7 linked regions of the Coturnix japonica genome follow. The protein of the gene in region 5 interacts with the protein of the main gene of each other region in a pairwise test. Links are inferred from orthologs where the notes say so. Each region holds a gene or a part of one and is shown on either strand. Other genes may lie near its edges. The genes, in order: MED31, TRAFD1, MKRN2, TANK, HTT, DNAJA3 and WAC.

The links.
Region 1: the proteins of HTT (region 5) and MED31 interact in binary tests that used the Homo sapiens proteins (3 or more experiments, as listed by UniProt). The link is inferred for Coturnix japonica from reciprocal best matches to the Homo sapiens genes HTT and MED31.
Region 2: the proteins of HTT (region 5) and TRAFD1 interact in binary tests that used the Homo sapiens proteins (3 or more experiments, as listed by UniProt). The link is inferred for Coturnix japonica from reciprocal best matches to the Homo sapiens genes HTT and TRAFD1.
Region 3: the proteins of HTT (region 5) and MKRN2 interact in binary tests that used the Homo sapiens proteins (3 or more experiments, as listed by UniProt). The link is inferred for Coturnix japonica from reciprocal best matches to the Homo sapiens genes HTT and MKRN2.
Region 4: the proteins of HTT (region 5) and TANK interact in binary tests that used the Homo sapiens proteins (3 or more experiments, as listed by UniProt). The link is inferred for Coturnix japonica from reciprocal best matches to the Homo sapiens genes HTT and TANK.
Region 6: the proteins of HTT (region 5) and DNAJA3 interact in binary tests that used the Homo sapiens proteins (3 or more experiments, as listed by UniProt). The link is inferred for Coturnix japonica from reciprocal best matches to the Homo sapiens genes HTT and DNAJA3.
Region 7: the proteins of HTT (region 5) and WAC interact in binary tests that used the Homo sapiens proteins (3 or more experiments, as listed by UniProt). The link is inferred for Coturnix japonica from reciprocal best matches to the Homo sapiens genes HTT and WAC.

What each region holds. Positions count from the first base shown.
Region 1 is NC_029534.1:8,576,323-8,580,591, forward strand, and holds the start of MED31 (mediator of RNA polymerase II transcription subunit 31), read left to right. Parts: upstream 1-1,469; 5' UTR 1,470-1,630; coding exon 1,631-1,640; intron 1,641-2,841; coding exon 2,842-2,919; intron 2,920-3,509; coding exon 3,510-3,606; intron 3,607-4,269. UniProt on the Homo sapiens protein: Component of the Mediator complex, a coactivator involved in the regulated transcription of nearly all RNA polymerase II-dependent genes.
Region 2 is NC_029530.1:5,458,046-5,461,545, forward strand, and holds part of TRAFD1 (TRAF-type zinc finger domain-containing protein 1), read left to right. Parts: intron 1-346; coding exon 347-749; intron 750-2,080; coding exon 2,081-2,347; intron 2,348-3,127; coding exon 3,128-3,198; intron 3,199-3,390; coding exon 3,391-3,500. UniProt on the Homo sapiens protein: Negative feedback regulator that controls excessive innate immune responses. Regulates both Toll-like receptor 4 (TLR4) and DDX58/RIG1-like helicases (RLH) pathways.
Region 3 is NC_029527.1:3,307,016-3,311,248, reverse strand, and holds the start of MKRN2 (probable E3 ubiquitin-protein ligase makorin-2), read right to left. Parts: upstream 2,801-4,233; coding exon 2,775-2,800; coding exon of another isoform or gene 2,696-2,774; exon of another isoform or gene 2,681-2,695; intron 2,604-2,680; coding exon 2,475-2,603; intron 1,206-2,474; coding exon 1,027-1,205; intron 757-1,026; coding exon 452-756; intron 1-451. Other genes in the region: MKRN2OS (MKRN2 opposite strand protein), read left to right, coding at 2,696-3,132, 3,205-3,254, 4,056-4,218. UniProt on the Homo sapiens protein: E3 ubiquitin ligase catalyzing the covalent attachment of ubiquitin moieties onto substrate proteins.
Region 4 is NC_029522.1:25,234,229-25,237,728, reverse strand, and holds part of TANK (TRAF family member-associated NF-kappa-B activator), read right to left. Parts: intron 935-3,500; coding exon 767-934; 3' UTR 1-766.
Region 5 is NC_029519.1:74,630,080-74,634,055, reverse strand, and holds the start of HTT (huntingtin), read left to right. Parts: upstream 1-1,176; 5' UTR 1,177-1,376; coding exon 1,377-1,477; intron 1,478-3,976.
Region 6 is NC_029529.1:11,215,033-11,218,339, forward strand, and holds part of DNAJA3 (dnaJ homolog subfamily A member 3, mitochondrial), read left to right. Parts: coding exon 1-18; intron 19-465; coding exon 466-613; intron 614-1,447; coding exon 1,448-1,512; intron 1,513-2,373; coding exon 2,374-2,502; intron 2,503-2,919; coding exon 2,920-3,035; intron 3,036-3,307. UniProt on the Homo sapiens protein: Modulates apoptotic signal transduction or effector structures within the mitochondrial matrix. Affect cytochrome C release from the mitochondria and caspase 3 activation, but not caspase 8 activation.
Region 7 is NC_029517.1:13,929,218-13,933,485, reverse strand, and holds the start of WAC (WW domain-containing adapter protein with coiled-coil), read left to right. Parts: upstream 1-1,468; 5' UTR 1,469-1,564; coding exon of another isoform or gene 1,565-1,581; 5' UTR 1,582-1,583; coding exon 1,584-1,624; exon of another isoform or gene 1,625-1,630; intron 1,631-1,746; coding exon 1,747-1,783; exon of another isoform or gene 1,784-1,864; intron 1,865-3,228; coding exon 3,229-3,424; intron 3,425-4,268. Other genes in the region: Sjoegren syndrome nuclear autoantigen 1 homolog, read right to left, coding at 1-245, 1,565-1,581.

The sequences.
Region 1 (4,269 bases), on a different chromosome or scaffold from region 5:
AAATATATAATTTATAGGGACATCTCACATTGATTTTATTGTCTAGAATTACTACTGCAGCAAAGTGTCCCTTTTTGGAGTGTAATTTTAAACTCTGAATAGCTTTATTTGCTTTGGGTAGAAAACCTTATCTGATCTGTTTGTTAGCTAGTGGCTGTTTTATATCTAGATCTACTATGAGCATGCTCTCAAAATGCATTAGGAAAACAAGGGTTCAGCACCAGTGCTCAAACAGAGAATAGGGTTAGCAGTTCAGCTCCTATAAAAAGTGAAACTGAGGCAGTGATGTTATGATTTGATGATGATAAAAAGGAAAATTCTTGGCTCAAACACACAGCTTAATACCTCTTCCCTGAAAGTCTGACTAAGCTAATATTTAAAAGCATAAATAAATCCAGCTTTTCCTAGAGAATGTTCTTAGTTTTTGTAATATGACTCCAACTTTCAATTTTGTTCCTAGTTTTGATGGCCAAGAATTGCGTTCTTGCACTTTACTCTGGCAAACCTACGTAGTAATTTAATTCATGTGACCAAGCCTTTCTTAGGATTCTCTCCTCTGAAGTCAGTCTTGGGAGATACATCGTGTTCCAGAATAGCACTGCCAATGCGTGGGATATGTTTGATCTCTGCTTTTAGACAAAAGTCTGTATTTACTGGGGAGTGACCTGCTAATTCTGTTATAGTAATGGTAGTACTCCACAACCACTAAAACCTTGGGGAAAAAAGAAACAAAACACAAAATTATTTTATTAAGGAAAGCAATGCAGAAGTCTTTTTTTAGGTGGTCTTATAGCCTAATTTCTATTGGGGCTGGAGGGGAACAGTTACACTACATAGAAAGAGATAGCACTACAGGAAAATGCTGAGACACTGAAAATAGTTTAACAAATCACAAATTTTAAAAAAGAATTAGGATTCGTGTTGAGCCTGTATAGTGCAAACTGTTACACAAGTGCCTAATAATGCAATCATAGCAGCAATGGAACTCAGGTAGCTTGACAGTGCTAAACCCCACCAGTCTTTGTTTTAACCAAGATATGAACATCCAGTGTGTGACCCCAGACATGAATGCAGCATTAGGAATAAATCTGCAACCTAAGTGCTGAACTCTTCTCCAGGTGCAATAGCATAGTGCTGTTCTGCACCCCTGGCGCATCTGTTTAACTGGTTTCACTACGACATAACTTCTTAATAAATAAACTGCAGAGGTTGTGTGAGATCAGCTCAGCATGAGCTGCCAGGGGGAAAGGGGAAAGGGAACGGGAAAGGGGAAAAGGGAAAAAGGGAAAGGGAAAAGGGAAAAAGGAAAAGGGGAAAGGGAAGAAAGAAAAGCACACACATGCCTAGGAAAAAATCCATCCCAGAACATTGCTCCTACAGGTACCTTCCAATCGTACTGCCTGTCTGGTAACAGCTCTCTTTCAAGACAAGGGGAAAAAAAGTTGCTCCAACTTTAGTTTATTTCAAAAGGTCATTTTCTACACAACTCGCATCATTAACGCAGCTCCTCACCACCACAGACCTTCCCATCTTGCCTCGTTGCGCCTCCCGCCTAACTCCCGCCTGCCGACAGCGGGCGCTCCCGCCGCCATTTTGAGGCCGGGCGGGGAGCGGAGCCCAGCACGCCGCCATGGACGCAGGTGAGCGGCGCGGTGCGGTGCGGTTCGGGCAGGGCGAGCGACTCCGGGCCACGGAGAGCGTCGGTGGTCCTGCCGTGCAGAGTTCGGGCGGTTCGGGAGCGATGGGCCGACAGGCTCCGAATCGTTTTCCTCGGGAGGGGCCCGGGGCGGTCCTGCTGCGCTGCCCTCCCGGCTTGGCCCTTCTCAGGCCGTTGGCCCCGTTGGGGCCCTTCGCGACGTTCATGGAGACACCGCGGCTCTTACCTGCCCGGACGCCATGGCAGCGGACATCCCACGTTGCATCTGTGGTCGAGGAGCTGAATCTTTTATAGACCCCGAGTGTTTGGATGGAGGGGACTTTATTTACAGATCGGACCTCCCGCCAGAGCGGCCTGCGCGGTGCCCCTTCCAGCCTTCCCTTGTGCAGCTCCAGGGATGGGGCCCCCACAGAGAGGGGCGGCCCGTGCCGGGGCCTCACCGCCCCTCGGAGAAGAATTTCTTCCTAACATCTAACCTGAGTTTCCTATTGTTTGAGTTTAAAGCTGTTCCTTCTTGTTCTGTTGTTTTCAGTCAGGGTGGAAAGTCAACATATTTTTCTATAAGCTCCCTTTCCACGCTGAAAGACCAGAGTGAGATCTCCCTGAGCCTTCTCCAGGCTGAGCAAGCCCAGCTCCCTCACCCTTTTGTCATAGGACAGCAGAATCTTGTGCTGACCCCTGGGTCTGTCATCAGTGCCTACTGTACACCAATAGTGTGAGAACACTGCAGGATTCTCACTAAACTGAGACATCTCTGTACAAAACAAACAAAACAAAAAGCAGCCTCACGGTAAGCATTTCTTAAATTATGTGCAAGGAGGCTTTCAGTGAGCTGCTGGTAGTGTTCTTTTCTTGCCTTCTTATATTTTCCTTGCACTAAAAGCAGGCCCCTTTCCCTTCCCTTTTCATATATTCTACATAAAGTGTCAGAGAGCATTTCTCCATTATTTGCATCGTTTTTAGTTGTTAAAAAAACAAACAAACAATAGTACATGTATTAACATGGGCCCAACACTTATTCATGTAATAGAAAAGACTGCTAGATGAGCCCATACTTGTGGGCTCTTGGTGCTTTATCTCCTCTCTAAACGTTTCTATTTTTGTGGCTCAAGTTGAGAAACTTACTTTTAAATCTGCCATGTAAGTCCAGTTTTTACTGTTTTTTTTTTTTCTCTTGTATTCAGATGATACAGGAAATCGACTTAGGTTCCAGTTGGAGTTGGAGTTTGTTCAGTGCCTAGCAAATCCCAATTACCTCAACTGTGAGTACTTAATGTCAGGGATCCTGAGAAGTTAATGTTATTTAACAGTTTAATGATTACGTGTAATGGTAAACTGTGTGTGTGTGTGTGTGTGTGTGTGTGTGTGCAGAGGCGAAGGGTAAACAAAGAAAAGGGAAGAGATCTTTAAGGAAAAAAGTAGTCTGAGGATAATTTAATTTGTCCGAATTTCAAAGGTGAGGTAGAAGAGGGAGGAGATGACACCTTTAAAATGTGAAATGATTATTTCTTGAAATAAAACACAACTGTCTGGTGGAGAATAAGTGCACATCTGTAGTAGAAAATAAATAATAATAATTACATTTCAATCTTAGAAGTACTCATATCTGAAACCAACATTTCACTAATGCTTATAATAGTTTCAGGTGGAATTCTTAATTTCTTTGGTTTTCCCTGACAGTTTTGATGTCAGAAGTTCCTATTTTTGAAGACATCGCATCCTTGTTGCTGTATAAAAGTTATATGCTAACTCACTATGCTTAACTTGTATTAGAGTGTTGACTTAAGATATATTTTTCCCTTTGTGTTTTTTTTTTATTGAGTTGTAAAAAATTCCTTGTCTCTTATTTCAGTTCTTGCACAAAGAGGATACTTCAAAGACAAAGCTTTTGTAAACTATCTTAAATATTTACTGTATTGGAAAGAACCTGAATATGCAAAATACTTGAAGTAAGTATTAAAAGCCCTCAGGTTTCTGCATTTTAATGATTTTTACCTTCTCTTATGCACTGTAAAGTAGCATGTGCATATTTGATTTCTCCCTGCAGCCAAAACATGCACTGTGTTTATATGCAGTATAAATTTTCCTGTTTCCTGTAGTCTGGGATAGGCACAATTAAAGAACGTTTCATTCTTGACATATGCATGGAATTTTCCATTTGCAACCTTTATCTGCACCTTCTATCTGCATAAAGCAAGATTACTGAACATCACGGGACAAAACTACTTCAGCCCATTAAGAACATTCTGAGAGTGATTTTTGCCCTGTTGATAGCTACACAAAGAATCGTTTTTTTTCATTTTTTTAATTAATGTTTAAACTCAGTTATTGAAATTTTTTTTGTTTACTTCAAATGAGCTCTGGAAAGAGCTATTTAATTAATTAGTTTTTGTTTTAATGAAATCTAGTATTTATAAAAGTTATTTTAATCAGCTCCGTGTATGTATTTATATTGTTATTGGATTCCCTGTTTTCTAGCCTTGTAGTTACTGAAGGTATTAAGTTACAGTGTATGGAAAAGGTACAGCGCTCACTGTTTCAGGTACTTGAGTAAGGCACTAAATGACTAAAATAATGGAGAGATACTGGAGACTCCAGTTCTAGTGCACCTT
Region 2 (3,500 bases), on a different chromosome or scaffold from region 5:
GCACTAATAAGTCTTTAAGCAGTACTTAAATGTGGTTGTGAAGAATGTTTCTTAAAAATTAACTTTAAAAAGCACTATGTGAAGCTGCTGTTAAAGCATTGCAGGTTTAAAGGGAATGTTTTGAATGTTGGTAGTGCTTCAGCTGACAGCTTTCTGACTACACAGGTGATACAGTGTATCATTCTTTTATTTCTTGTATAGTATTTTATTTCAGGCTGCTCTTCAGTGCAGCTTTGTATCTAGCTAAAGAAACAATAGCAAGCTCAACTCAAGTAAAGTGAGAACCTCCATTTACCTTTGCCTCCGTCTTCCATATGTTAAGAATAATCCCTCCTTCTTTTTTTAGACATCAGCGTGCCCTTTGCGTCCTGCAGTCTGCCAGCATTGTGACATCCAGCTTACTTTCAATAAGCTTCAGGATCATGAAAGTTACTGTGGAGCTAGGACTGAGATGTGTAGTGGTTGTGGCCTTAACGTAATGGTAAAAGATCTAAAAGAGCATCCCCAAGTCTGTGGGAAAGAGGTGAAGCGAGTAAGCAAAACAGTGCCTCGCTTTGAGGCAGAGGATGCAGGTTTGCATGCCCTTCGAGACATTAGAAACCAGTTAAGATCAGATAACTGTGCTGTGCCTTTGTGGAGAATGCCCAGGGCACTAGAAAGGCAGATCTATAGCGACTCTGTAGGAGACAAAACACTTAAGGACATTAGAAGAAGAAATGTTTCAAGAACACAGAGAAATCAAAATCAAGGTAAGGTATAGATGAAAGTAATAACTTGTTTTTAATCTGCCATTTGCCAGGTGATCCAAGTAAAAGATTTATGTGATACTAAGTAAGAAAAGTTGTGGAGGCAATGAGTGTGGCACTATTTTGTTGTGGAACAAAGCTGCAAAAGTATAAGCCTCCTAAATGGAGGACTTTTGAGGTAGCTGGTGAGATGACAGCACAGGCAATGCACTGGGCTTTCACCTCAAGAAGTACCTAACTTTAAAATGATGCTGGAATTGTTTGCTCACTTTAAATCCTTTTGATTTTTATTTAGCAGCTCCACTCTTCCTTTAAGTAGAAGGCTAGGTAAGATCTGTATGTGGTTCACATATGAAGTGCTGAGCATTTCTGCAATAACAGCCTGTCTGGACATAGCTGAGACTGTTATAAATGCCTCTGCTTGCTCATAAGCCTCTAATCTCCCACCTCCATGTGCAGAGGGTCATGTCACATTTAAGACATGCCCTTTCCATGAGCTCTCTGCTGAACGTGTGCTCTGCTTTCTGCTGTGGGCTACTCAGAGGGTTTAACACTGGAAAGTACTACACTGCAGTCTTTGCCATAGAAGACTGCCTGGCTTGCAGAAATAACTTTTGGGGTTAGTTAATGAAGCTAAATGCTTGGAGGACTATAACTTGTCCACTTGTACTGAGTTCTAAATTATCTTCTAGTAAGATTTTCATATGTGTATTAAGTTTTCTTGAATTTCTGATATAATCAAGATGAATAAAATGCTGGAGATATTTGAAACATGCCAGCATGGGGGAGGAGCTCAGCCTTCCACTAGACATCATCAGTTCAGTCTTGGGCCCTGTTCTGAAATGTGGTGGGTTTTTTGTTGTTGATTGCTTGTTTTTATGTATAACTCTACGACGAGGAAACATTTCATCATTTTCTTCTGTATGTGTATAATACCCATTTGTCAAATGTAGTATCATTAAAAGGAATTTGTTTTTCCACTCACACATTAAAGAGACAAGGTTGAAAAGTTCCAGCCTCACAGAAAGTAGTAGATGCGTGTTAGAATTGAGCCTTGTTCACAAGGTAGGATACAGAACTTCTCTCCTTAACTTCATAATGTTTGTGTAAGCGGAACAACATTTTCTGTTCTTCTTTCTCCTCTTTTTGGTTGTTACAAACAGAAGCAGGATGACTGTTTTCCTTCTAATTTGATACAGGAAGTGTCCTAGGCTGTGAAATACTGAACTCCATGAGTGTCCGCACGTGAAACCCTCTTGGTTGAACTAGACTAATTTGCTTAAGTAATTGTTGCAGGTTTAACGTTACCTAAAATTTATATTCATCTTTTGAAGAGTATGGACTGGAGCAGCTGGAGAGAAATAAAAACACTAACTCACTTTATGAAGAGCAGAATGCCAATTTAGACCACATGTTGGCTCTTAGCCTTCAGAATGAGAATAATCCTCGCAATAATTCTGCGGCAGAGATTCACAGGGACGTCTGGGAAAACCACTATGCCAAAGAATCTGTGCCATCTTCCTGCCCCAATGAAACAGACAACTCAAATACCTTTCCTTATGACTCTTTATTGTCTTTGAACACTTCAAACCACTTGAAACGTAAGTATAAATGCTGTCTTATTAAGTCTGAGAGAGAAAGAGGATTCTTGGATGCAGACTGTCAAAGATCATCTAAGTAGATCAAAGTGAAGCTCTTTGAGACTCCCTCTAAATAATTGTTAAATAATTAATAGTAGGAGATTAAGCATGCCATTTCTTTCTTAAAAGTTATCTTCTGTCCCCTCAAAAACAGTAATACTTCTTTGAACAGAAGTAAAGCAAGACAGAAGGGGAGGAAGAACTAAAAGGTGTAGTGGAGCTCTGACCTTGATATGTTCATCCAGAAATTCTTTTCAACTCATAACAGTTCAGAACAATGCAAGGACAAGCACTGATATTACTCCAGGCCTTCAGTTCTAAGTGAAAACACTGGTGTACCTTTAGAAGCAAAATAGGTGCCTGTGCCCATCAGTGCTAAGGGATTCATAACAACAGGCTTTCTTGCTGCCTTCCTATCATGTTTATTCTCAACACCTGTGAGAGACCTGAGGTGCCAAATTAATTTGAAAGGGAAAATAGTATGAAGGGATTTATGTGGGGGCAGTAGTAGGCTTTTGTATCATATATTTGACCCCAAAACACTTTTCTGTCTCTGGGTGATATGGATTTACTCAGAAAACTCAACAAGTGGGACTACAGTAACTATTTCCTTTGCATTTGCTTTGGTTGCTGTTCTGTGCTACAGTACAGGAATTTATTGCTTAGGAATTTTGAATCTAAGTTGATCCAAATGAAGCCAGGCTCTATATGGTAGAGGATATAACCATTATTGCTTTGCAGGTGATGAGATCATGTTGCCGTGTGAGTTTTGTGAGGAGCTGTACCCTGCTGAAGATCTGATTCTTCATCAGGTTTAGTACTTCTTTGTATTGTATCTAGGAGCTTGCAGTTAAGACCTGTTTGTTACTGTGACCGAACAAAGGTGCAGTGTTTGCTCAGTGATACAGTTAAAGTCTAGTAATTTTATCTTTGCTCAGCATTATTTTTAAAACCCCTGTGTGCTAAATGAGATGGCTAACTTTTCTATGTTACTTGCTTAACAGACAGGTTGTAACCCAGCAAGTGCCTTTGCTTCCTTCAGTAAAAGGAGTTCTCTGGATCCACAAAAATATGATGATCTGCATAATATTGGGTACAACAGCTATAGGTCTGA
Region 3 (4,233 bases), on a different chromosome or scaffold from region 5:
TATCCCTAAGTCCCATCTAATTCAGGGTCCAGTATGGATGCTGCACTCAGGATGTTACTCTGTTTATCAGTAAGGCCTCAGTCATCAGACTCTAAGTTTTACCCTAGATAAGGAACTGGTTTCTTATGATGGGCTTCCCTACAGCAGTTCTCACACCGTACTCAGTGATGTACCAATTCCTTTTACAGCACTACAACTGAGACCTCCCGTCGGCTACAAAAGACATCTTCCTAAAAGAGTCCTAGAGTATTTGGGAAGAAGGCAAGTTTCCCATAAGAAAGGGGAAGTCACTGTAAAGTGCTGTCAGCATCAATGTTACCACTGGGGCCCTGGATGCTTGTCATTCCACAGATAGACAAACTACAACAAAACACACCTTTCTATTTTTAAAAAATAAACCAAATGTAGCACTAAGCACACGCATCTCACACTGATTTCATGTTAACATTACCATCTCATGAGCCTTCCTCTGTTCTTGGTCAAAAGGGTGAAGCACTTGCAGCCCGCATATTTCACACACGTCCCCGTGCAGGTAAAGGCAGCGCTCCCCGAAGTGACACGCTCCTGCTGCAGCGTAAGGACACAGCTGCTCTCCATCACCAAAGGAACTTCCAGCTACTGGATCTTCCAGCCCACTGCAAATAGCTTCCAAATACGAATGAGGCTTCATTTCCACATTATCACTTTTGTCACTGCAACACACCACATCATTTGCGGCACTGGCTTTTTCCTTCTCTTCATTCAAGCCACACAGATCTTAAGAAAGAAAAATGTAATATTAACAACACACCACAAAACCTACATAAGATGCTCCCTATATTTTCTTTTCAATTAATACCAGTTTTTAGCTTTACAAATGTCTCCTAAATCAAATCTTCTCAGCCCTAAGCCTCTTTCACTCCTATGTTACAAGATCTCCAGCACCTCTTTCCCACTGTCCTTGAACTCAAGTTAAAAAAAAAACATGAAAAATGACCCAGAACCAGAGGACAACATCAAGGATAAGCACAGTCGCCTCCTACTCACTTCTGTCCCTGAGCACAAGCGTTTTCTTCTCCCGTTTGCCACTCTCCCGCAGCTTGCTCTTGGTTGCAGGTGTGCTGTGCTCAGGTGCAGGGCGAGGGCTGAGCAGCGCTGCTGATGCCATAGCAGGAGGCACAGGAGCTGCTGCACCCCCAGAGGCAGGGAGCCTGATGTGGTCGTACCTGTAAGAAGCACAGTAAGCGCTGGAAAAGCTCAGCTCAGGGCACAGTGGAAGGACGGCTACTTTGAATGTATTTATTTACACAAAGGGTTGTTTTAATGAGTTGTCTGAAATGTTCAGTCTCTTTCAAAGCCAGACTGAAAGACTTCTCAGACTCAGCAAAATGAAAGCATGTCAAGATCTTCCTCTTTAGAGAGGCCTATCACAGCTGAAAGAGCATCATTCACGTGCACATTAGATCAGGTCTTTGTCATCCTCACGCAAAGAGCTTTGTTGACATTTCTCTGAGAAGCAAAATTAAAAAGCCGTGCAGTAAGGATTGATGTGATCTCATTCTCCCTGTCCAAGCAGGGACATAAAAACTTCCTGCTCCCATACCACCATGATGTCGTGTCTGCACACAGGACAGGAAAGGTTCCAAATGACTATGGAAACATGCTCTCAGCAGCAGAACAGAAGCTACCAGTACAGTACAAAGTTTCTCTTGCAAAGCCACAAACATCAGCAGCCCATCCGCATCCAGAGCCCTCAGCTGTCCCAACACTGCTGGAGCAGCACATCAGCACTCTGCAGCTGCATACAGTGTTAATTCCATCTGAGCAACCTATGAGAGCTGCAGAACTCTAAGTGCAGCTGGATGCAGGTCTGACAGCACAGGCAGAGCCCAGGGAAGGAACATAATGCAGAACTGCAGCCACACGACACCCTGACACCTCTGGCTGCTGCTGAGTGCCACAGACACAGGACTCCATCTGCCCCAGCTCTGCAGCACACTGCTGATGGCACACAGCATTTACCAGAGCACCTGTGCAGGAGTTTGAACCAAAAGGCTGTAGCATAAGGCATGGAACCATTGCCCACAGAGCTGAGAGGAGCACAAAGAACACCCGCTTCACTTTAAGACAGAACTCTAACTCCTCTAACCTCAGCACCGGGATGTGCAGGAACAAAAGCAGCAAAGCACTGCTGGAACACTACTGTGCCTTGTACAGCCCATAGCACACCTCACAGCCTGGCACTGCCACATGGCATTCTGCTTTTAGCACCCAACGCTCCTCAGACGAGGTGAAAGCACATAAAACCCGATGCCTCTTTTCCACAGGACAAGGCCCAGTCAAACCATAACACTATGCCCATGTACGCTGGCTTCAGGAGGGGCAGCAAAGCTCGCTGCTGATTTATTACTCTGTCGTTTTGCCACTCAAACACCTCATCTCTCCTCGAGCTTCGCGTCCCCCCAGCTCCTCAGAGCACACGGCCCGGCTCTCACCTGCAGCGGGCTCCATAGGCGCACTGTCCCTTCTGGTAGTACTTGCAGATGGTGGAGGACTTGCTGCTGGACAGGTCGTGCGAGAACAGACACTTGTTCCCCTCCCGGCACACCCCCTGCACGTAGTACCTGTGGAGAAGCACCCGGTATAAATGGCTCCTCTCTGGGAGGCGCCTTCCCGCGCACAGCGCCGCCCCACACGGCCCATCCCGGCCCCCCGCATGTTGTTCTCCCGGGACCCCCCGCCGGTTCGGCCCGTCCGTGTCGGATCGGTCCCGGCCGTGCCCGGCGCTCACCCACCTGCACGTCACCTGCCTGGTGCTCATCCTCGCTCCGTTCTCCCCGCCCGGCCGGTTCCGCTGCGCCGCGGGGAAGGGGCGGGGCCGACACGGCCACAATTACCCGACGCTCCGCACCACAGAGACGCCGCACGGCGGGATAGAGCGTCGGCCATGGAGGCGGCCGCCATCCTGTACGTGCGGCACTGCGCCGCCGCCATCTTCTGCCGCCGCGTTCCCCCGCTGTGCCCCGTGTGCGGCCGCCCCCTGCGCGATGCCGGGCTGCTCAGCGCCCCCGTGAGCCTCCAATGTCCCTTCGTGCACGGACACCGGCAGCACCGCGCCTTCCTGCTGCGGCCCACGGCCGGCAGCTTCCTGCGGTACGGGACGGGACGGGGCTGAACAGCGGGACGCGCACGGCTCGTGTGTCACGGGCCATGTTTCTCTTTCAGAGAATACGACGGGAACTCGGATCTGCACGTGGGAATATCCAGCGCTCGGGGTAAAACGCATTGAATATGGCTGACAACCTGCTGGCAATGCTGCCTCACACACACAGTGCTGCACACACAGCATCACAGAATGACCCGGGTTGGAAGGGACCACAAGGATCATGTAGTTCCAACCCCCCTGCCCGGCAGGGCCAAGTAACACAGCAGTAAGAGCTGGGAGCTGCTGCCTGCAGGAGCACATAGATATCAACACCCACATCAACACCCACATCAACACCCACGTCCCATTAGTGAGCTTGCCTTGCAGACATCCGCACGCTGAGCGAGTCACAGCCATGTGCTGCTCTTCTCCCAGTTCCACTCAGTGCTGAGGAGCTGCACAGGACAGAGCTGACAGGTGACCTGTATTCGTGACAAACAAATAACAGCCAGGCAGCAAACAGTTTGGCTTATTAAACTGATATTGCTAATTCTGAAGTCATCCCTAACTAAAACAAGCAAGCAAACACTACGTTAGCAGTCATTACAGGTTCCCAGAGCACAGCAGCCCATCAAATGGATGTTTCGAGTGAGATACTGCATTAATAGAAAAGTGGTTTGAATAGGAAGTGTCAAAAAGAAACCTGGCAGTCCTTGTTAAGAGATCGGAAATTACCCTGTAACAATGACAACAGTTCTTTGATACAAGTAAACATTGCACTTCCTGCTCTAGCTCTAGGCCTCTGAGGGGAAGCTATGGCCTAGTTAAAAGAGTGGCATTAAGAAAAAGACCAGTAGCTTTCAACACTTAAAAATGCACACGAATCCATTTCCTCTGTACTACCTGCCAACCTGTTGCTCTTTATTTCCAGGAGTGGTGTATCATTACAATGAAGAGGGCGTTCACAGAGATGAAAGCGGATGGGAGCAGTGCATTAGTGTCCCACTAGTACAGCCAGACATGTTTGAGCTTCTTCAGCAGTGGGATCAAATCCTGGAGGAATTTTCTATGGGAGAGGAGTGGCTTCCTCACAGGTATGTAGCTGAACA
Region 4 (3,500 bases), on a different chromosome or scaffold from region 5:
CAAAATGCAACGTTTTGACTAAATGCATTTAAACTGCATTGAGAAAACCATTCTGCATATTCAGGTTAGAACTGAAGTCACTGAGACTTCTGTGATTAGGTTTTCCCCTTGCTTGTCTAAGCCATAACAGATTTGAACAATCCTTCATAGCAGACTAGAAAGAAAGGTAAACTTTTCCATCTTTGGTATTCTTACCTTTAGGGACACTTTAGCCTTTTCTTACTCCATCCTTCATATTAATATTTTGCATGAAAGTAGTTTAACTAATAATTAATGCTGGAAAGATACATCAACACAATTGTTATTTTTTATAACAAATCTTATAATAGAAACTAAAAATGAGAGCCTACCCCTCTTTCCCGATTCCTTCAATTAGAGAATTGTATCAGTGGATATTGAGAAGAAATCCTAGCTGTACACCAATTTCTGTCCCAGATTAAAGGCTTAATCCTGCAAATCTGTCCTGATAAATATAATCATGACTTCAAGCCTATTCAGGCAAAGATCAGCTGGGGGAAAAAAAAAGCTTTTAACTACAATCCCAATGGCAATATTGAAGCATGACAAGCAGTAAAGTGAATTACAGTACTGACTTACGGTTGCATTTCACCTCATCAAATGACAATGAAAAAAATGTGCTTATCTGATAATTTCAGTTAGTTCTTGTTACAAGAAGTCTCAATTCTTAAATTCTTAGCAAATCTATTCAACAATAATAAAAAACCCAAATGGATGCAAAAACAGTGACCCGCTGAATTCTCATATGTTAAGACTGTACTTTAAAGTGGGAATTCAGATGCCGAAGAAAATCTTCCTTAGATGTTAGAGATGGTGGGAAAACTTCTCGACAGAATTCACATACTCCACGCTGATTCAGTTCAGAGTCTGTATAAGTTTGTGCCAGCAAATCATTGTCCCGAGGCTGCCAAATGAGCTAAAAGAAACAGAAAATGATTACTGCTGTGGTTTATGATGTGAATTACATTATGCTGTGGTACATATTTATATTAAAAATATACCTCCCTCTTTATATTAGGTTTACTTAACGTAAGCCTGGCAGAGGCATTAACTGGAGAAAATTCTCACTTAAAAAAGGCAATATATACATTTTTTTTACTCTCCTAAACATACTACCTTTGCAAGTACTTGATATTTTGATATCTATTAATGATAAATGATGCCATGAACAGAGTTCTGTAATATCAGTATGACATAAATTCATTTCTTTAACATCGTATATATATATATATATATATATATTTACTGTAGAAGCCTTAGTACATAAATCTTTAGTACCATTGTTTTTAACCTTAAAATAATTATTTATTGTACAAAGGTTATATGAAATATTTCTATTCTTATTGGTACACATCTAATTTTCAGTTTAACTGCAAAACAACTACAGCAATGTCACATGGTCAAAGTTACTTAATTGCTCTGACTGCCTTTTAGTGTAAGCATGTCTCAGGTAGTCTCAGTGTTGGGATTCTTTCTTCCATGACAGCAATGAACTCAATAGGGCCATTGGAATATTCATCCATACACTCAGGCAAGTCTGCAAGCTATGCTAAAATTGCTTCAGCAGCTGCTGCTGCTCTTGCTACCTGAGTGAGCCAGTTGAAAGCCAGCAAGTCTGTTTGAAGACCATGGGGACATGAGCCTGAGCGTACGCCAGTTATATGGCTTGATAATACCCAGGATTAAGAAATTCATCAAAGCAAAGTCAAAAATTAAGTTTTGCTACTTCAACATTAGCAACAAACCCAAGATAAAATACATAGTTATATTACAAGGCCAGGAAAATTAGGTTTTGAATAAACTGAAAAACAAATGCATACTGCTGTGACTGCAGAGCGGACAGAATGGCAGCTAGTTGCTATCAGATCTACATAGGGCTGGAACCTAGAAAAGGAGAGCACCATCCAGTTTTTTAGCTCATCTTTCTTCTCTATTGCTTAAATCACATGTGGAAACGCAAGTAAGAATACTTTAGAAAGTAGTTTCTTATGAAATTCTGAAGTTCTAGCTATCCATTCTAATCCAAGAGTTTTAATTTTCACACATTTATCATGTCAAATACTTAGAATCTGTTGTATCCCCCCCCGCCATGGTAACTCACTGTACAATGAACGTGGCTTTCACAGTGGTTAATCCCTGTATTTAAACCAGCTGCAACTTCCTGGAGTCAATTCCTCATGCTCTCCATATTTAAACAGTGTTTAGCTTATCAGACAGTGGTAGCAGATTTACCATCTTTCATTATGGTCAGCAATCCATATAATTAAATTGGCTAATTAGTAATTAAGTGCAATCACACCACTTCTTTTCAGCTAAAAGAGCCCACTTACTGTACATTGCTGGTGTAAATTGCACATTAATTTTTTCTAGACATAGACACACTCAAACATCCCTCCAGGAATGTGTTTAAAATTACTGTTTTTTAATACCAAATTATGTAAATGGTCATTAAAAATATTATTGTAAAAATAATAGGACACAGTAAGATTTCCAGCCTTGGAACCACCACATAGAAAGAATCCAGCAAAATGCTGAAGCAAGCACTTAACTTTAATTTTTTCCTCTGAGTGTTGTTTAAAATGCTCTTCAGAGCAGAGATTCATTTAAGCAGCTGTTTCATTTCTAAAACAAGACCTAGATTACGATCAATAGACTACTGACTTGATTTCAAATCATGAACATTCTTAGAGATGCTTTTGGCTGAAACAACCCCCGCAAATTGTGAATACTGGTAAACATAATGCATCTCCGTGCAAGTTTCAATTAACAGTAGTCTGTAAAACCCCAGGTCCACTAATATCCATATATCCGTGCTTATTTTAATCTGCTGCTCTTTTCAGTCATTTTCTTTTTTTTTTTTTTTTAAGTTACACCCGAAGAAAACAGTACTGAGTTTTCACATTTAGTATCCACAAAGAAGGAAAGAGCTAAATTTATTACAGCAACTGAGAGCAGTTCCAAGAACTTACTGTTGCCAAATCTACTGCATTTATGGGGTTTTCCATTTTATAAGTTAACATATGTAGTAAATACTTGAAAGTTTTATCTGCACTAGTAAAAAAACAGTCAGGTATCTCATTGCTCCCTGATGGAGATTTACCAGTGGCAGGGATGATGGAACTGGAACAACTCCCTAAAAATGCTGTAAAAATCCCAGGAACAAGTTATTCACAGTTTTGTTTTTTTGTTGTTGTTGTTTTTGTTTTTTTTTTGTTTTAAATTTAATACAATAAGAAAATACAATAAGAAGACATGTATGCAAGTAACATGAATAAAACCCTACTGTTTTAATCTACACATATATTATCTGTAAATCCAGTTCATTAGGAATTGGAACCAAGTCCCATTCACTAGGAAAAGTACTTTAAGAACTTTTTTGTAGGCATCTAATTATAGGTGATGGATGTTGTGAGAGAGAAAGAGATGGATATTTAATCAATTCTAAAGTAATATTGGCTTAGTTCAAACAAATTTCTGGATAA
Region 5 (3,976 bases):
ATAATTTAAAGTGACTAATATTACTAGCTTGGAGATTTCACTTGGAGAAGTGTGCAAAGGGTAAGGAGATGAAAGCAAAGCACTGTGGTATGAGAAACATAATATGAATTTTGTTCATGATTTTTCATAGGATGCAGATGAGAGATGGCAGCAGGTTGTATTTACTGCTGATGTAGACTTTTATTTCGATGAAGCTATAATTAGAAATAGAGTTTCCTGTTCAGAATGCCTTCATTTCACCTCTGTGAATTCAGATCCTAGCTCTGTTACATGATTTTAATAGCAGCGAGACAATCCAGCAGCCCAACTGCTTTGTTCTGTTGGTGTGAGATACAGGAAGATCTATCAGTTCTGTGGAGCTGTTTCAATGAGATCAATCCTTCTTTGTGGCTTTTGTTTCCAAACATTTGTTTCTGTAAGTCTTAATGTCTGCTTGTGTGTACCTCATGAATCCACATACAGGTAACTTTCCTCATGCTCCACATACGTCCAAACCACCACAGTTCCTTCCATTTATAGCCATGTTGACTGTTAAATGTGTTAGCTCCAGAACCACTCGAGTTAATTGTTGTATGAGCTGTTTTCCTGGATGTTCTACCATTGTTACTCTTGAAATAAAAGCAGAACACTGCCACATCTCTCAAACACACCTATTATTGTCTTATGTGCTTTGTTTAGCAGCTCTTTCACGGTAGCCGGGGTAGGTAAAGTTGTCATGAAAACAATTAAAATTACAAGTTGTTGAAATAGAAATGATTGCTGATTCTGTTGTCTCAGCAGCTATAGGTACATTAAAGCAGAGGTTGTACTTCAATCCATTATTTTTAGTTAAAAAAAGATCTTAATACTTGAATTCCGCTGTCTCTGAGAGAAGCAGCCTTTAAATAGGTATGTTTTATATGTGCTTTAAGAGGGCAAAAGCAGGTCCAGCATCACGAGGCTGATGCTGAGCGGCCAGCGGGTCCCCTGCCAAGCACTAAGTGCTGGTTCCTGTAAGTGTTTCCCCTTTTTCCTCACAGCCCAAAATAACGCCTTAGTGCCGGTAGCGCTTGGCATCAGCTCAGCGCGATAAGGGCTGTGAGGGGATGGATGGATGGAGGCTGAGGCGCCCTTAGTGCCGCCAGCGGGCGCCCAACCCGTGCTGGGCGGAGCAACCCAGGCAGGAGCGCGGGGGCTGCTGGGCCAACCCCAAGATGGCGGCGGGGCAGCGGGGCGGAGATCGCGGCCCCGAACGGCGGCTCCCCGGCTCGGCTCGGCTGTGAGGCGCCAGGCGGCCTGTGAGGAGGGTGTGAGGGGGAGAGGAGGGACAGGCGGAGAGTCGGGAGCGGGAGGAAGGACGAGGGCGCTCGCCTGTGAGAGGGCGGGCCGGAGCGGCGATGGCCACCATGGAGAAGCTGATGAAGGCCTTCGAGTCGCTGCGATCCTTCCAGCAGCAGCAGGTGCCGGCCGTCATCCCCGAGGAGCCGACGCTGAGACCGTGAGTGAGCGGAGCGGGACGTGGGGTTGTGGCAGCGGGCGGACGAGTCCGGAGGTGCCGCCTGTGTTTGTGGCTGTTGAGGTGGCTGCAGGTCTCTGGGTGAAGGTTTGTAAACGCTGCAGCCTTGTGAACTTAAGCCTTGTTTGACTCAACATGAGCCAGCAGTGCGCTCTGGCAGCCAGGAAAGCAAATGGGATCCTGGGCTCCATGAGGAGAGGGGTGGTCAGCAGGGATAGGGAGGTGATTGTCCCTCTCTACTCGGCTCTTGTGAGGCCCCATCTGTTGTACTGTGTCCAGGTGTGGAGCCCTCAGTACAAAAAAGACATGGAGATTTTGGAAAGGGTCCAGAGGAGGGACAGGAAGATGATCAGGGGGCTGGAGCACCTCCCCTATGAGGACAGGCTGAGGGAGTTGGGTTTGTTCAGCCTGGAGAAGGTTGCGGGGTGACCTCATTGCAGCCTTTCAATACCTGAAGGGAACTTACTCCCAGGAGGGGAGTAAACTCTTCGAAAAGGCTGATAATAGCAGGACACGGGGAAATGGTTTGAAGTTAAAAGAAGGAAGATTTAGGTTGGATGTTAGGGGGAAGTTCTTCACTAGGAGAGTGGTTAGGCCCTGGAACAGGCTGCCCAGGGAGGTTGTGGATGCCCCGTCCTTGGAGGTGTTCAAGGCCAGGTTGGACGGGGCCCTGGGCAACCTGATGTAGTAAAGGTGTATGTTTGGTGGCCCTGCCAGGCAGGGGGGTTGGAACTACATGATCCTTGAGGTCCCTTCCAACCCGGGTCATTCTGTGATTCTGTGAAAAGATCTTAAGTTTAGCTTAAAATCTAGGATTTGTCTGTCTTTAAGGAATGGATGTAGATAACTGCTTATGGCAGGCTTTGCTTGAAGTCTTGCGTTGTCACGTGTTTTGAGCTCCAAGAGGAAATAACACAAATGTTTCTGCTATCTCTTTGTGTCCTTAGATATTAGGGTTGGAGGCACTGAAAAGATGTTTGTTCCTATCTGCGCAATGCTCTGGTTTCAAGTCAGGGAACCTGCAGCTTTGCTGGAGGCCAAGGAGCTGTTCAGTGCCCCAGTGCTGCCTGTCGGCTTTGCTTTCTCTAAAAATAACTTTTATTGAGCAGGTGAAAAGGCACTAAGGACTTTAGTGCACTCGGTAAGTGAGTCACACTGTTGCTGTTTCTCCAGACACGAGGGAGACAGGAGGAACACAAGGGCTGAGGAGCAGGTAGCTTCAAAATTGACAGTTTCAGGTGCTTTTGGCAGAGCTGATCCACAATGGAAGCTGGGCTCTTGGCCACCTGCTCCCACAGTACGGTTTGAGACAGATGCCAGCTGGATTTGCCACGGTTCATACTGCTTGGACACTCTCACCTCAAACACTTTCATTGTGTCATTGATACTCTTGGGGACACAACAGATGAAAAACCTTATTTTCTTCATAAGCCAATTGTTTTCATATACCTCAGTGTTTACAGGGACTAATTGCTCTTTTATTTTTTGATTGTACTATGATTTTGCATGGCATGGAGAATAGGTGGACGTCTATTTCCAGTCTTTACTGTGCATAGCAGAAGAAAATCTAAGCAGATATTGCTAGGATAGATCATCTTATTTGAAAAGAAAGGCTTGAAAATAATTTGTGATGCTTGCAGGGGGATGTTATGGTTGATTTGGGGGTTTGCATTTAGTCATACCAGAATCAAAGCGCTAAAAAATCAAGCTTGTAATTGTCCTAGTTGACTTTGTTTTTTCCTGTTTAAAAATAGACTGGTTGTTTTCAGAAAGCTGATAGTATTGCATGCCCCCAGGAGCTTTACCAATTCAGAAAGGGCACTGAGCTCCATAAAAGCCTATGAAACGATATTGTGCCAATCTTCGTTGGAGTTTCCTGAATTGTTAGTGAAATACCAGGTGACATCTTGAGCTGAACTCCTGGTGTTGGTTGTGTTTTCCATCCGATGGGTTAGAAAAGAGAAATGCCTTCTTGTGTTCTTTGCACATAGGGACCAGCGTTCATCTTAATTGTGATCCTGCACAGATAACCCTTAAATATTTAGCAGTGCTGTATGCTAACAAACTACTCTCTCCTGATGTGTAATATTTTAAGATCACGGAGGCTGGAGCTTAGAGATGGGAATTGTTTGCACAAATGTCATCGTGACAATGAATTTTGAGATCTTGATAAAATAATATCCTGGTTTTACATTTATTATTAAGGTATTGATTGAATTCAAACATTGGTAATGTGAGGGTTCTTTTCTCTCCTTTCCTCAAGGTTTTAATCAGCAGTAATCACTTATTGTGGTTTTAGTGTGTGTTACAGGCATGTCAGGTTATGGCCTCCTCTCTTTCTGTGGTTGGTTTGGCCTTCTATGAATGCTCAGATTGAGCTCTCTGTCATCATTTTGCTTCTACAAGCTTCTGCTGAGGCACCTTCTTGTCTTCCATCTCTGTTTTTTTGCTTTTTTGGACTCCTGAATTTTGGTTGGAGTT
Region 6 (3,307 bases), on a different chromosome or scaffold from region 5:
TGCAATGGCACTGGCATGGTAAGTCTTTCTTAAGAGACAGGTTCTGCTGTACTTGTATTTCTTGGCACAAGTCACCCTTCCACAGTTTCTTAATAACATCATCAGCTTCTTGAGTGAAGCCAGGTTAACGTGGACTTGATGTTGAATATTTGGAAATGTGCTCTGTCAAGCTAAAAGCAGGACAAGGTCATCTGGGACTGTGTGTGATATAACAATTCTGAAATTACTTGGGACTTAAGTAGAATACTTTGAATTGAGGGTTGGGGAGAGGAGGAAGACAAGGATAACTTTAGGGTAACCACTGAATGAGAAGTTACGTGCTACTTAGAGTAAGTAAAGAAATAATCAAGCTTCAGAGAGCCCAAATATTCTTGGTCAATCACTGTCGGTGGTGTGAAAGTGAGAAGTACCATCTTGATAGCAAATGTTTGTGTGATCATTTGTACGACCTGTTTTCTTCACTAGGAAACAATAAACACTGGCCCCTTTGTAATGCGATCTACGTGCCGAAGATGTGGAGGTCGTGCTTCCATCATAACAACACCATGTGTGGTATGTCGAGGAACGGGGCAAACCAAACAGAAGAAGACAGTGATAGTTCCTGTGCCGGCTGGTTAGTGTTGTGTTTGTGTGCTGCTCTCTGTTACAGTGACCGTAGTTATTTCCACTAGGCTGACAGCAAGGCGCTTACCTATAAAGCGAGGCTTTCTCTGCCAGCTGTGGGTGTCAAAGCAATGTAAAGTTGTTTTACTTTGGAGAAGTTATCCTAAGAATAAAGCAGGCTGATAACTTGGTCACTGAAAGTGTGCACAATGAGAAACCTTCTGACCATGCATTTATACATAGTAGGTAAAAATGTTTGTCCCTTTTGGAGCTGAAGTTCTGGTTCTTGAGTGGATCCTTCTAGACAAGTTTTGAAGATTTAAGCTTTGCAAAGGTTTTGTCAGCTTGTATTTCTCATTGCTCTTGATGAAATTGGTGGGGATGGGAATCTTGCAAGCCTGAGCTTAGCTCAGAAGAGTTTGCTGTTTGCTTTTGTCAGCAGAGGGAAAAAGCAAAAACAGGAGCAGTGGGACTGAAGACTTGATGCCTCGAGGCTGCCTTGGGTGGCAGCTGGTGGTTTCCCAGTAGTTTGTAGAGGCTGCCCAGCGTGGCTCAGTCTGATGCATTTCCTGGATGAATTGTGTAGGGATTGAGGTTGTGAAGCTGTGTAGGGGTGCCCCTCTGCTCGGCAGCAGCAGTCACCTCTGAGGCACAGCTGTGTGCTGCTGCACCTCCTGGACTGGGGTTTGCTCTGCTTTTCACTGGCAGGTCTTGTGCTGCTCAGGTGCTGCTGAGGTGGGATGGGGAGGGATGCGAGCAGAAGAGCTGTACGAATTCCAGTAGCACATGGATCACAATACAAGATAACTTCCCTTTGTTTTTTCCCCCCCTCTTCCTAATGCAGGTGTTGAGGATGGGCAGACTGTTCGGATGCCTGTAGGCAAGAAGGAAATTTTCATTACCTTCCGGGTATGTATTGTTACAGCACAAGCTCTTCCTGCTACTAAGGCTGTTATTTATTCCCTTCACAACTGTGGGAAGTCTGAATGGGGGATGGCAGGAGAAAGAGCAAGTGATCCTTTGAAACAGCTGAGGTAACGTGATCCTCATGAGCCTGCAGAAGGTCTGCATTGTAACATTCAGTCTGCTCCTCTGGAGCTGTGCTGCTCATTCCAGGATGAGGCCTTTATGGTCGTGTGCATCAAAATACAGAGCAGGTTCTCGATGCCTTGAGAGTTTGATGTGGAGATTTGAAGAAGCTTTCTGCGCCCAGGAGGGCTGCAGGAATGTGCACACGAGGCTGGTCAAGTGTCCTTTTGCAGACTTGCATTAAGTGCTGCTTTGCACATTCTTTGTAGCTGGGGCCCTCTTCTCCTGCAGGTAACAATATGCACCTCTGTCAATGAGAACCTTTTTCCATTACCTTTGTGCTGCAGGAGAATTTAATTCTCTTCCAGTTTTCAAAGCTGCTACTAAAGTTCTTGCCCTCCTCCTCTGGCTTTCCCTTTTTCAGGGCCCTGGACAAGACAGTGTCATCTTTGTCTGCAGTATTGCACTGACTGTAATGAACTAACAAACAGGATTAGTGGGGGGGAGTTGCTTAGATAAGCAGACGTACTCCTAAATCTCTGGCTAATTACAGTTACGTAATGATCTGTGCTGTTCTAAAAGACTGAACATTAAGCTAAACTAGTCATTACCATGGACGGTAAAGAACATGACTACTGCTTTCTTCTATGTTTTCTGCTGAGATCTTTCAAAGTAGCTTACCTTACCTTGTTCACTTTGTATTGTTCTGCTTTCTGTTTTGTGGAACTACCTACCTTCTAGGTTCAAAAAAGCTCAGTGTTCAGAAGAAATGGAGCAGATATCCATTCAGAGCTCCTTATTTCGGTAGCACAGGCTGTGCTGGGAGGGACAGCCAGGTGTCAAGGCTTGTATGAGACAATCAATATCACAGTAAGTAACGTTACGTGGAAGAGCTCTGGCATAAATCAGTGTGGGACATCAGAGCCTTCTGAGTCCATCTGGATCAGGTTTCAGACTCACTAAGGATTGAATGTCAGGTAGTTTGTGACCTGCCTTGGTCACACCTGCTTTACAGCTCACTGTGTGGGGACATGGGAAGGAGGGGCTGGATGGATTGCTGGACACATCCCATCCAACATCTACTACACTGTGCTAGTTTCTTTTACTCTGTCCTGAAAAAGCTTTTCCATCAGTATTGACTTCACCCCTGAGCGTGTCCAGCTGCACAATTATACCAGATCTGCCATCTTATTTTGAATCTCATTAGTGAAATACTTGTTATAAACATGTGCTAACTACATACATGCATGCAATGGAACAATGAACGTGACACCTCTGTGTTCACAGATACCACCTGGTATTCAGCCAGACCAGAGAATTCGAATTAGTGGGAAAGGCATTCCCAAGGTTAACAGTTACGGCTACGGAGACCACTACATTCACGTGAAGATAAAAGTTCCTCAGTAAGTAATATGGATTTCTGTGAGATCTGAAGCTTCTTGCAATAAAATCTTGCTCAGGAAGATTTTATGAGGATTTCTCACTGCTTTATCAAGATCTGTGTTGAATCTTCTTTGGACAGCTTATGCTGTGCTGGTCAGCCAAGGAATTCATTCCTTGAGTTGTGCCCTATGACGTTCTATTGCAGCTCCACACGGTTCCTCTCAGCACTTCCACAGATTCTAATTTTTTTGGTGTAATTTTTTGGTCACATCTCTGGTTGTCCCAGATATAC
Region 7 (4,268 bases), on a different chromosome or scaffold from region 5:
TCTGAGCCAGGTTTTCACACACCCCCTCCAACTGTTCATTGAGGGTTTGAATTTCATGCTGGAGTCTGCTTTTCTCCTCTTCTGCTTGCTGGATCTGTTTGTTCAGCTCCTCTTTTTGCATACACAAGTCTTCAATACACTTAACGAGCTCATTGTTGTAACCCTGAAGAACAGCTCCCTGCTGGGTCATCCTCTGCTCCTGTCTGTCCGTGAGCTTCCTGAGGTGTCCTCTCAGCTGCAGCCTTCTGCACGTTAACACAAAAACAAGAACAGAGAGAAAAACTATAGTTATAGTGTGATGCTATGTTTAAACACAGCATTGTGGGGAAAGATGTACTGCTACAGGCCAGTTCTGAGGGGGGCTTGTCACTTCCCTTTTCATTAAGGAGGCAGGACAAGATTCAGGCTCTGTATCATTGCATGGTTTGGGGCCCTTCAAGGCTATCAGTCCCAACACCATGCCGTGGGCAGAGCACCCACCCAGCAGCTCATGCTGCCCGTGGGCCCATCCAACCCAGCAGGGCTGGATCACTCCCAGCTCCTCAGGGCAGCGCTGCCCGTCCCGCTCACCCGCTCCCTCCACGCGTGAGGCGGCCCGAGCTCCGCCATCGCCTCAGGGGGAGCTGAGAGGGAAGGAGGGACGCGGCCCGGCCAGCCGCTTCCCCAGGGACATTTTAACAACCACTCCCTACCGAGCGCCTCTCGCCGAACCCAACGTACACAAAATGGCTCCTGCCTATACATCAAGGCGCCGGGCGGAAGGGGAGGGGGGAGGTGAGTGAGGGGAGACCTTCCCTTTCCTATCCCCCCCGCACCACCTCGGCTCCTTTCGCGGTCCCCCCCCATCGCCCCCACCTGCCTGCCGCTGCCGCCCCCGCTCGCTCCCCTCGGCCAATCGGCCGCGCCCCGCCAACGGCCGCGCAGGTCACGGAAATAGCCGAACGGTTCCGAAGGCGGCGTCACCCCGACGAGAGCGTGAAAGCCTCTCTACGGAAATAACCGATGTTTTCCGAAGACAGGTAGCGTTCGGGAGTGGAGGACGAGGCGGGCCGGCCGGAGGGGGGGGGAGAGCTACGGAACGAGCCGATGTTTGCCGAAGGGAGAGACTGAAGGGCGTTGGGCTCGGCGGAGACTGCCGATGTTTGCCGAAGGCAGAGTCGCCCGAGAGCAAAGGGGACAGAGGGGACGGAGCGCGTCGGAAAGAGCCGAAAAGAGCCGACGTTAACCGAGCGCGGCGTCGCCCGAGTTTCCCGGATGTAGTTGGAGGAGCGGCGACGGCGGCGGCGGGCGCAGCGGGGGGAGGAGGCGGCAGCGGCGGCAGCGACGGAGTCCGCGCTCCCGGAGCGCCTCAGCGGGGCCGAGCTGCCGGCGTCTCCCCTCAGGCTGCGCGCGGCGGAGATGGGCCCGTGAGCGCCGCTCCCAGCACAGCTGCCGAGCCGCCCCCTCCCTCCCTGCCCCCTCCCTGCCCCCGGTCGGCGGCGAGGCGGAGCGCCGCTCCCCTCCTCCCCCCTCGGCGCCCGTAGGCCCGGCCGCGGCCGTCCCTTCCTGGTCCCCTCACACTCACACACACAGGCCGGGCATTGATGGTAATGTATGCGAGGAAACAGCAGAGACTCAGTGATGGGTAAATCCCCTCCTCGGCCCCGCGGCTCTCCCCCCGCCTCCGCCATGTTTGGGCCCCTTCCCGGCGCCCGGTAACGGCCCTCACTAACGCCTCTCTCTCTCTTTCTCTCGCCTTCTCCGCAGCTGTCACGACCGCAGGGGGGACTCGCAGCCCTACCAGGTACCGCCGCGCCGGCCGCCGGGCCCGGGAGGAGGAGGAGCAGGGCAGGGAAGGTGGGGGGGGAGCTACTCCAGCCCAGGCTTCGGCCGCCGCCGCAGGCCGCGCTGCCCCGCGCGGCTCCCGCCCGGCCCGCGGTGCCTTGTAAGGCCCGAGAGGTGGGGAAGGGAACAGGCTCCGGCCCGCAGCCGGGGGAACGGAGCCGCCGCGCCGCTGCGATGGCCGGGCCGGTAGGAGAGGCCTAGCGCGGGGCCGGGGCCTAGCAGACGGGAGGTGCGAGCACAGGGGCGGGAGAGCGCGGCCGGGTCACGGGCGGAGGAGCCGAGAGCCGGGGGAAGGGGAACGTTGTCCTCCTAAAAACAAAAGGCGGCTTGTTCGCCCCCCGCCCCCCTCCCCGAGGCCCTTCTCCCCAAAACTGCTGCTGCGGGCTGTAACCTGAGCAGGGCATGATTTTAGACCCTGAACTGGGGTTGTCAGTAGGGCTTCGTCTCCACAGTTGCCAGTCTCTACAGTTGCCAGCTGCTGGGGGTGTTCAAAAACATCAGATCCTCTGGCTTTTGACAGTAACTTCAATTTAAGTATGATGAGTCCCGTAGTCTAATGCCTATGAGAAATACGAAAGAATAAAAATAAGAAAAATAAAATTATACCTTAAGGAGGGTGTGAGTCTGGGGAACGCTGTGTGTAGGGATACTGCTCTTCTTAGGGCATTTAACTAAACCATTTTATTACATTTCTGAGTGTTTCTATCACTGTGAAGTGTCATCTGATGGTCCGAGGCAGCTGTCAGTGACAGTTCATGTAATATAAAACACTTGCCACTCATGAGCTCGCTCTGCAAAATCAAGCAGATCAAAAAGAGACATAACTTGTTAGTTTTGGTAAATGTTCCAAAATGAATTGTCACATTATGTTCTGCCCTCTTAAATACCCCCCCAAATTCTAGATTTTTATTGTATCTGTTATGGGCTTGCTAGTACTGAAGTCTATCTGCAGAAGCTTAACGTTGATGCAAAAGGAAGTGGCCTCCATTACAGTATGGATATTTACAGTTCACTCTGTTTCAATATAACTGTCTCTTTATTTCTTTAGTACCAGCTGCACTTGTGCTTGTTTTGAGTGTCAGAGGTTTTGTGCCCCACTTACCGTTTAAAGTATGCAGTCCTTCACTGAGAAAATAGGAAGAAATTAGGCTTATCTTAACAGCAAATGTTATGTTGGATGTCGTGGTGAGAGCAAATGGTTTCAGTCCTAATTACAGAACTTGTTGCTCTAATGTAGGTAATTAAAACTAAGAGGATGAATAGTGGTTATTTAAATGGGAAATAAAAATTAATTACTTCAAAAAGTGTTTTAGAAGAAAGATCTGAAATTTATGACTGATGTTAAAATGTTCTTTCTGTATCTATATCTGATGAAAATGCCTGTTTTCTTGTGATCTTTTTCAGGCTCTTAAGTACTCATCCAAGAGTCACCCAAGTGGTGGTGATCATCGTCATGACAAGATGCGAGACACCACAGATCCTTCACCACCAAATAAAATGTTGCGGCGCTCTGATAGCCCTGAAAACAAATACAGTGACAACACAGGGCACAGTAAAGCAAAAAGTGTGCATACTCACAGAGTTAGAGAGAGGGATGGTGGTGAGTTGTCTTTAATTAACCTTTCTTTAAGCGATTACTGTTTCCTCATAAAATTAAACAGTTGTCACTCAGGTGAAGGGAGCATTGCGTTGAGCGATGTTCTTTGATGCTCGGAAGACTGCTGTGAAACCAAAAGCCATGTTTGCTTGGAAGCAGGCATTGTAACACCTGTTAGCTGTCTTATTTTTACAGGTATGAGAGTTCTGCATACTGCAACGTTCAATAAGATAAAACCATATTCTAGAGTTCTAGAGATTGACAATCTTAAAGGTTTAAGTTGCTATTTTAGTAAAAATAATTTAGTATTTCTGTAATGTAGGTATGTGCTTCCTGGGCTACACTCTGAGAATGATAAAAAATAGCTTTAGATCTGGTTGCTGTAAACTAACAATGTTAAAATCAAAGATAGCACTTAGTACAATATCTCCTGGCAGAAGCTTAGTCAGGTAGCCTCCTATCTTTTTACAGTGTAATTCAGATGATAATAGTGTGCTCAGAAGTTTTAAGCTGGTGTTATTTTCTATTTCTACCTCCTAAAAACGCCTAAGAGTAGAGTTTTCCTTTTGGTAAAGGAGAGTAACAGCTGGAGGTTTAAAAAGTTTGTTACTGGGTTTGGAAGTCTGTTTTGTAAGTATTCTATTTGTTCTTTGTATTGGGTTATAAAGTATTCAGGGACAGAACTTGAGACAAAGAAGCACCAGGAAAAGTTCTCTATAAAGTAAACAGCCTGGGATGTACAGGTGTATTTATCACTGCAGTATTGTTACTTATTAAAGTAACAAATATAATATCTTTGTGTCCTTTAGAACATATTAGTTCCATACCGCGTGTACATTTATGGTGC